2 linked regions of the Pelodiscus sinensis genome follow. The protein of the gene in region 2 purifies or fractionates together with the protein of the main gene of each other region. This does not show direct contact. Links are inferred from orthologs where the notes say so. Each region holds a gene or a part of one and is shown on either strand. Other genes may lie near its edges.

Region 1 (3,743 bases), on a different chromosome or scaffold from region 2:
AGGTACAGACGGGGTGTGGTACAGTGGGAATTAACCAGAAAATCTAGCAGAGGCACCATACAACAACATCTCTCTCACACAATTCATACATAATCAGTCACCCTGGCACATGCATGGCAAAGTGCTTTAACTAATTCCCTACTCTGGGAGAGGGGGGCAGAGAAAGAATGGAAGGCAAAATGAAAGGAGTCTGAGTCAGAGCCCAGGGTAGCCTGCTTTCAGGCCCAAGACAGCTGTAATTCACTTCTTGACAAAGTGAGCAAGAGCTGTCTGTAGCACTGTGTCAGCAGCACTTTGCTGACAGGCTTATTCCTTAGCAAACTGACAGTTTCAGAGAGCATTGAACTTGGAGGTGAATGTGAGTAGAGGGCAGGGCCCGATTGTCCCCTTGGTGCTGGTTGGAATTTCTGAACTCCCCTCAGGCAAAGGTGTGCAGCCTACTGATAGAGAGATGTGTGTGTTAGAAATATTTAACAACCGATTAAGTGCTCCTGTACTTTCTAAAGCGCATTTACTCAGGATATAGAATAAAAGCTCTCCACAGTGGAACTCACCTGGGGAAAATTAATCATCTTCATGGGGATCATGGATTCCAGCAGTCTGCACCTCACAGAAATATCAAGAGTGAGGAAGGAAATGAAAAAGTTAACAAGAAACCCAAGAAGCAGGAGATGCTGTATTCCATTCCCTGATCAGTGATACAAAGCTCCATATCTCTTCCCCTCTGACCCTCAACAAAGCCAGCCAGTCCCACTAACAGCCAGGCACCAGACTGGAAACAGTGCCTTAGAGGGGAAGAGGATTTGTATTGCAATCCTATCCCCCTGTGCACAAACAGTTTTCTCTGCCTGGTGTCCCGAGAGCAGGGTGACACCATGGCTATTATAAAGGAGATGTGCAAAGTGTTGCACTTGTGGGACAGATGAGGTTTTGTAGGGCTATGTATGCCCTTTCCCCACACTGTATGCAAGAGCAGTAACAATGAAAGGCTAAAGGAGCTGCTGGTTCAGCTCCACAAACCCTGTATCTTACACTTAGAATGGCAGCACTAGGCTATACATGAAACAACATGCATCTCAGGATGAACTGAGGGTAGCCCTTTAGGAATAATGAAGGGTAAACAAGGGAGGATCCTGGACAAATTTCCCCCAAAGGCTATCTCCATAGCAAGTCCATAAGCAGACGTGGATTAGTTAGGAGCTATCCAGGTCTTTATTATGTGAGAAACAGTGGGAGATGCTCCTCACTTTATGGCATGACCCTTCTGTCCTGTTCAGGTTGCATCTCTACCCCGTTATACTGGACCAGGAATACATGACAGGCCTTTCACAGTACCCCATGAAGGGGCCATAGTAGTGGACCGGGCTGCTCATACGAGGATGCGAGACTGAGATAACTGCATGGCCTAAGTCATTTGCCCCTGTGCTTAGTTTGCTCACCTGTTGCGAACCTGGATGGGCTCCACATCAAAGTAAGGTCTGAGAATATCAATGTTGGCATAGAGATTGAAGGCCTTCGACGCTTGTCTCTTACCTGCCTGCCACATCTGGGGAGAGAAATCAGTAACTGTAGCAGACTAAACATTCCCTTTGCAATGCCGTTCTGAGGCGCATCTCCTGGAACCAAAGCATCCAGTGGCTAAATAACCAGAATGAAAATTAAACATCTTTGGAGTGATCAGCATCCCATCCAAAGCCTAGGGGAAAGTAGGACAAAAGACATCAAGCCCAGAATGGGACTCAAGCTGTAGCACCCAGAAACCAAAGGTGAGATAGCTCAGGGTCATATTGGAAATGGCTACCTGGACCTAAAATGGGACTCAACATCTATAGCTCACTACAGTCAGAGCCAGACACAAGAAGGCAACACAGCCCGCCCCCCATCTCTTGCAGCGCTCTGCTCACCTGGTCAGCTACTTGCCGGCCCAGCTGTCCCTTAAAACCCTTCATGCCCAGGAACTCTCCATCCTCCTCGTCTGCCGCAGCAGCTTCTGCATCCACCTCCTCCTCCTCCTTCATGCGCTGGTGCATCTCGCCCATGTCCTCGAAGCTGGAGCCAGACGTGTCGTCCATGTTCTCCATGTCGATCACAGCGGAGCCGCCTCCCTGCGCCCCAGGGCAAAGGGTCGGGGAGTCAGGCTCAGCGCCAGGGCCGGGGAGCGCCCGTCCCAGCGCCGCGGCGCCCGCAGCAGGGCAGGCGCCACCCTAGCTCCCAAGCCGGGGAAGCGCAGAGCCGGGGGGGGGGTGTTGTGTTGGGGGGGGGCACAGCAGCGGCCCGCACCGCTGACAACCGCAGGGCCCCCCCGGCTCCCCCCTCCTCCCTGCCCAGCCCCGCACCTGCATATTGTCCTCGAAGCCGCCCCATTCCGCGGCGCTCCCGGGCCTGCCGCCGCCCGCCGCCGCCCCCCCGGGCCCGGACATCCTCCCCGTTGGCTGGGGGCACCGGGGCCCCCGGCCGCTCTGCGCCTCACTGCAGGGGCTCCGGGGAGCCTAGTCTGGAGACTGACGTGACTGACGTCAGAAGCCTCGGCAACTTCGGCCGAGGACGTGGATGCGCCTTTGCTCTCGCGAGATCTCATACTAGCGACCAGGTCTCGACGCCATCTTGGTTGTGGCATAAGAGCGAGCATGAAGGCGCCTCTGGGAGAAGGGTCTGGGGAGAGCGGTGCCTTATTATCAAGACAGCGTCAACCCAGCGGCGAAGACCCACAACCCCGCGATAGCAGTAGTGGCTGTTTCTTAGGTCAACGCCACACCCAATATGGTGAAGACCAAGTCGGGCTAAGGCGCCGGCGCCGCCAAAGCGGAAGGAAAGGTCCGTATCACGTGACAGGGCAGTGGGTATTCACTAATGCGACTGCGCAGAGAAGAGCCGGATTGTGGCCGTGTCACGTGCTGGGGGCGCGCCAGGAAGATGGCGGCGCGCGGCGGCGTGGAGGAGATGCGGAGCCGGGTGATACTGGGGGAGTTCGGGGTCCGCAACGTGAGTGAGTTGGGGGCCGCGCGCGAGGCAGGAGGGGGCCGGGCGCGCGCCCGGGTCTTGGTGAGCGGCGGTTGGGGGCGGTTTGCCCCTGGCACGCGGCCCCTGCTTCGCTCCAGCTCGGGGCTGGGCTGGCAAGATGCGGCCCCCTGACAGGGAGGGAGTCTGGCCGCTTCCTAGTCGCGCCCTGTGGCCCTGACCCCGCGTTTCCAGGCGCGGCTCGGGCAGAAGGCTCCTGTCCAAAGGGCTCACGAGCTGTGGTGCTGCCCCGGCAGGGGCCGGAGCCGCGCGCCCTTTAAATAGATGCGGTAGCCGGGCAAATGCAGCAGCAGCGTCGGGAGCCCTTGAAGTTGCCGCTGTTTAAAGGGCCTGCAGCTCCCGGCCCTGCCGCTTCGTGTTGCCTGGCGGCCGCCCGGGACTCCCGATCGCAGCACTGCCCGGCAGGGGCCGGAGCCGCGAGCCTTTCCAATGGCCGCAGCAAGCCCGGGCGGCTGCCGGGCAACGTGGTGGTAGCAGCAGGGCCGGGGCCCCGAGCCCTTTGCGGTGTTTTTACTTCAGAACCTCCAGCCCCAGACAACTCCGGGGAGAGGCGAGTCCCCAGTGTCTCCCCTTTTGCCCCAGGCCCTGCCCCTTCTGGCGGAGGGGGGTTGAGCCAGCCCATGACTAACATTCATGAAGTGGCCCACCCCCAAAAATTACTGCCCACCTCTGCTCCAGGTTCACACCACGGACTTTCCTGGCAACTACCCTGGCTATGACGACGC
Region 2 (3,743 bases):
GAAAAATCGTTGGCCCATCCTGGGCTGCCATCAGTACTACATAGGGCTCCATAACTCCTAAGGATGGCCCTGGTTAAAGCCATACATATTAGAGCTTAACCAACTGTTTAACTGATAAGCTGATGCTTATTGATTAAGGGTGTCAGTTAAACTCAGCCGGCTTCCTGGGGAGGCAGCTTTGCTGCATCAGGGCAGTGAAGCTGCCTCCCTAGGAATAGGGCAGGCATGGGCCACCTGCTCCACTCCTAGTGAGATGGCTTTGCTACTGCAGCAAAGCCTCATTTATAGAAGCCCGGTCAGCAGTGGCTGGTGGCCCTGCTGCCAGGGAGACTGTGGGCTTTGTAATATAAACAAGGCTAACCTTTATACTGCAGAGCCCACAGTGCATATAACTGAATATTTTTAGTGGCTACACGGTTACCCTATTAAATGCTTTTTAATATCCCTAATACCCAGTGCTCTTTTTTGTGACAGTACGCCCCTGCATATTTTCCCTGCATAACTGAAATGAACTGCATTCCCTTCGGGTGTACCGGCACCTTTTCCTGGGGCGATTTTTTGCTCAACAACTTTCCCCCTGGAATACTGGCACTTTTTTTTTTTAAATAAAACATTGCTAATACCTATGGCATTTCAAAGTGGGGGAAGGGTGCCAGCAAATTGTCTTGAGATGTCTGACCTACTCATCCTTCCTCCGGTGTTCAACCAGTTCTGAAGCAGTAGTTGTTACAGTGGGGCATGACAAATGTGCCTAGTTGGCTGGTTGAGTGTGGTGAGTTAGCCACATGTTTCAAGCCCACTGGCCACCCTCAACTGGCTAAATGTGGCTAGCGGCTAGTATATTGGACACTACCGTCCTACTTGTTACTCGCTGTCTTAAACTAGACTCTAGGGAAGGAGGGCCCTAGGCTGGTTGGCCCTAGATTAGGACCTCACTTTACACAGGGGCAAAGGGCCTGACAAGGGGGGAGGGAGAATCAGGTGCAGACCTTTCAACGGGGGAGAGATGGCAGTTCGACAGGCTTGGGGCTGTCTCCCCTAACCCGGGCCCAGCCCGGGGGCGGCTAGCTCCCCTTCCGCGCTGACAGGCAGTTTCATCCTTGGCCCGCGTTATTCCTGGGGCCCCGGCCTGGCTTCCCTCTGCGGACACGGGGCCTGAGGCGCCCCCAGGGGCGTGGGGCTACGGAAGCCGAACGTCTCCCAGCTCGGGGCCGCCGCAGGGAGAGAGCCTGGGAGCCGAGCTGGTCTCGGCCGCCCGCTCGGGATGGGCAGCGTCAGGCCTCGGCGAGGGGAGACGCCCTCCGCGCCGGCGTCCGCCCTGGCAGCAGGGAAGCGGCTACGCCACCTGTCCCGCCCGGGCCGTGCGACAACAAGCCCCACCCCTCCCGCCAGGCCCGACCCCGGCCGGCGCTCGGGACTCTGCTGCGGCAGCTCCCTCTGCGCGCCAGAAGGGGCCGCGTGTCGCCGCCGCCGCTCCTCCCTCAGCGCCGGGCCCACAGGCCCGCTGCGCCCCCGCCATGCGGGACTACGAGGGGGTCACCGCCTTCCTGGGCGAGTGGGGCCCCTTCCAGCGCCTCATCTTCTTCCTGCTCAGCGCCAGCATCGTCCCCAATGGCTTCACCGGGCTCTCCATCGTCTTCCTGGCCGGCGTCCCCGAGCACCGCTGCCGCCTGCCCCCCGGCGCCAACCTGAGCCGCGAGTGGCTCGACGCCAGCATCCCCCGCGAGGTGCCGGGCGGCCGGGAGGGGCCCAGCAGGTGCCGCCGCTACCGCCTGGCCGCGCTGGCCAATTTCTCCGCGCTGGGGCTGCAGCCCGGCAGGGACGTGGACCTGAGTCAGCTGGAGCAGGAGAAGTGCCTGGACGGCTGGGAGTACAGCCGGGAGCTCTACCTCTCCACCATCGTCACCGAGGTGCGCCCGGGCCGGGGGGCCCGCTGAGCAGTAGGCAGGCGGGGCGTGAAGGCTGCTGGGGTGATGGAGATGTGGGAAGGGCTTTGGGCCGAGAAGCGGGGAGCTGCTGGGAGGGATGTTGGGGGACACGGGGTGGAGGGGAGCACCAGCAATGTGGGGCCAGCGCAGGAACTCAGGGGGCTGGGGCAGGGGGGCTGAGTATCGGTAACCCCTGGAGACTAGCTTGTCGTGCCCCAGGGGTACGGGAGTAACTGGATGATCTGTTGGTTTGATGCACAGATGAGCGATAAGACAAGGAGAGGCTGCGCTTTACTTCCTGGTCCCTGACGCATGACACGGGGCAGTCTGCATGTCAGTCCCTCTGTCATAGTGGGGGAGCTAGTGTCTGCTGGCTGCAGGGCTTGTTTCGCTTGAGCTGTGCTGCGGATGGGAGCCCTGAAGCTCGGTAGAAGGGGAAAAGTGGGCCCATAGTTGCCTAGTGTGTTACAATAGGTATGCTTGAAGGAGGGGAGGCATTGCATGGCCATGAGTACACCTGCCTTCTATGTTTAATCCTAGCGATCTGCTCGAGGGACTGTGTGTATCCAGTACTGGGCACACAGCTAGCTGGAGGGACCTGTTCATCTTGAGTTGCTTACTGTACTGCATCAGCCCTACACTTTTTCCTCTTGACATGAAACAGACTTTTCTCTGATTGTTCGGATCACTGCATGTATTACCTTTATTTTATTTATTTGTTTATTTAGAGATTTCTATTCGTTAACACATCATTGCTATGTAAATATCAGAGAAAACTAAAATGATTACAATAGTGAGCTTTTGTTTAGACTAGAGAAACATACAGTATTGTAGTAATCAACTTTCTATTTCACAGGGTGCTATCAAATTACAAAGACTGTTTATATATGCCAGGACATAGTTTTTGCTGGTCTTATTAAATCAAGTGAAACTTCTGATTTATGCATTTGTGAATCTGGTATGTCTATCAAATATTAATATTTTTAAAATATTGATATTTACAAGTGAAACAACCCGGTTGGCACAGAGAGGTCTGTGCTGCTTTTTGCTGATGATCTCTTTAATTGAATATCTAGATGTCTGCAAAGGAATCCATGCTTGGCTTCTGCAGCCTACTTCTCTTTATATATAGTCATAAATGTATGTGCTGTTTTAAACATTTGGAATGCAAAAGTGCTTGTGGTGGAGAGTGTACAGTTTAATTAGGATTATTAGAATACACAGGCCAAGAATTCAGATGCATGAAAATGAGGAAGATTAGCCAGACAGGAGATTAGTGTAGAAGGAGAGACTGAAAAAAAAGTTACATCATCTCTATCTAAGTTGCTGGAAATGTGTCTATGAGGCAGGAACAGTGATAGTGTGAAAGTTTCTGTCTCTTATGCTGCACATCATATGTAAATTTGTCAAGATCTTGTGATATTTTTTTGCCTGCTGAAAGCAAGAGGAAATGGAAAGAAACCCTTTAAAAATAAATAGCAGGAACAATATGTACCATTGTGCTTCTCTGCAGCAGTGCCTAAAAGATTTCTGTTAACAAAGGAAGTGTGAGCCTCTTTTGATATAACCAGCATACTTAAATTTTGACTTAATAGCTGTCCCAGTGTTAAATTTGGCATATCAGATTTTTTTTTTAAATGAAAGGCCCATGACATTTTTTCAACCACTGAACCAGCCAGTGTAGACAGGGAAAACCTTTTTTTTTTTTTTTTTTTTTTTTTGTTCACAACTGTTATTGAGCATAGGTAGTGACTGATGCTTAAATGATTTTTACAGCTGATCCTACCAATTTTCACCTTCCAGCACTGATGCATC

Evidence for each region. Proteins that work in one complex are often made in the same cells at the same time.
Region 1: the proteins of organic cation/carnitine transporter 2 (region 2) and YIPF3 purify together in Homo sapiens (co-immunoprecipitation; 3 studies listed by BioGRID and IntAct, counting the BioPlex papers as one, with this or other methods). This does not show direct contact. The link is inferred for Pelodiscus sinensis from reciprocal best matches to the Homo sapiens genes SLC22A5 and YIPF3.

The regions. Positions count from the first base shown.
Region 1 is NC_134713.1:139,252,901-139,256,643, forward strand, and holds the start of YIPF3 (protein YIPF3), read right to left. Parts: upstream 2,538-3,743; 5' UTR 2,421-2,537; coding exon 2,337-2,420; intron 2,106-2,336; coding exon 1,905-2,105; intron 1,547-1,904; coding exon 1,440-1,546; intron 601-1,439; coding exon 555-600; intron 1-554. Other genes in the region: POLR1C (DNA-directed RNA polymerases I and III subunit RPAC1), read left to right, coding at 2,914-2,982, 3,697-3,743. UniProt on the Homo sapiens protein: Involved in the maintenance of the Golgi structure. May play a role in hematopoiesis.
Region 2 is NC_134727.1:25,339,827-25,343,569, reverse strand, and holds the start of organic cation/carnitine transporter 2, read left to right. Parts: upstream 1-1,361; 5' UTR 1,362-1,517; coding exon 1,518-1,910; intron 1,911-3,743. UniProt on the Homo sapiens protein: Sodium-ion dependent, high affinity carnitine transporter. Involved in the active cellular uptake of carnitine. Transports one sodium ion with one molecule of carnitine.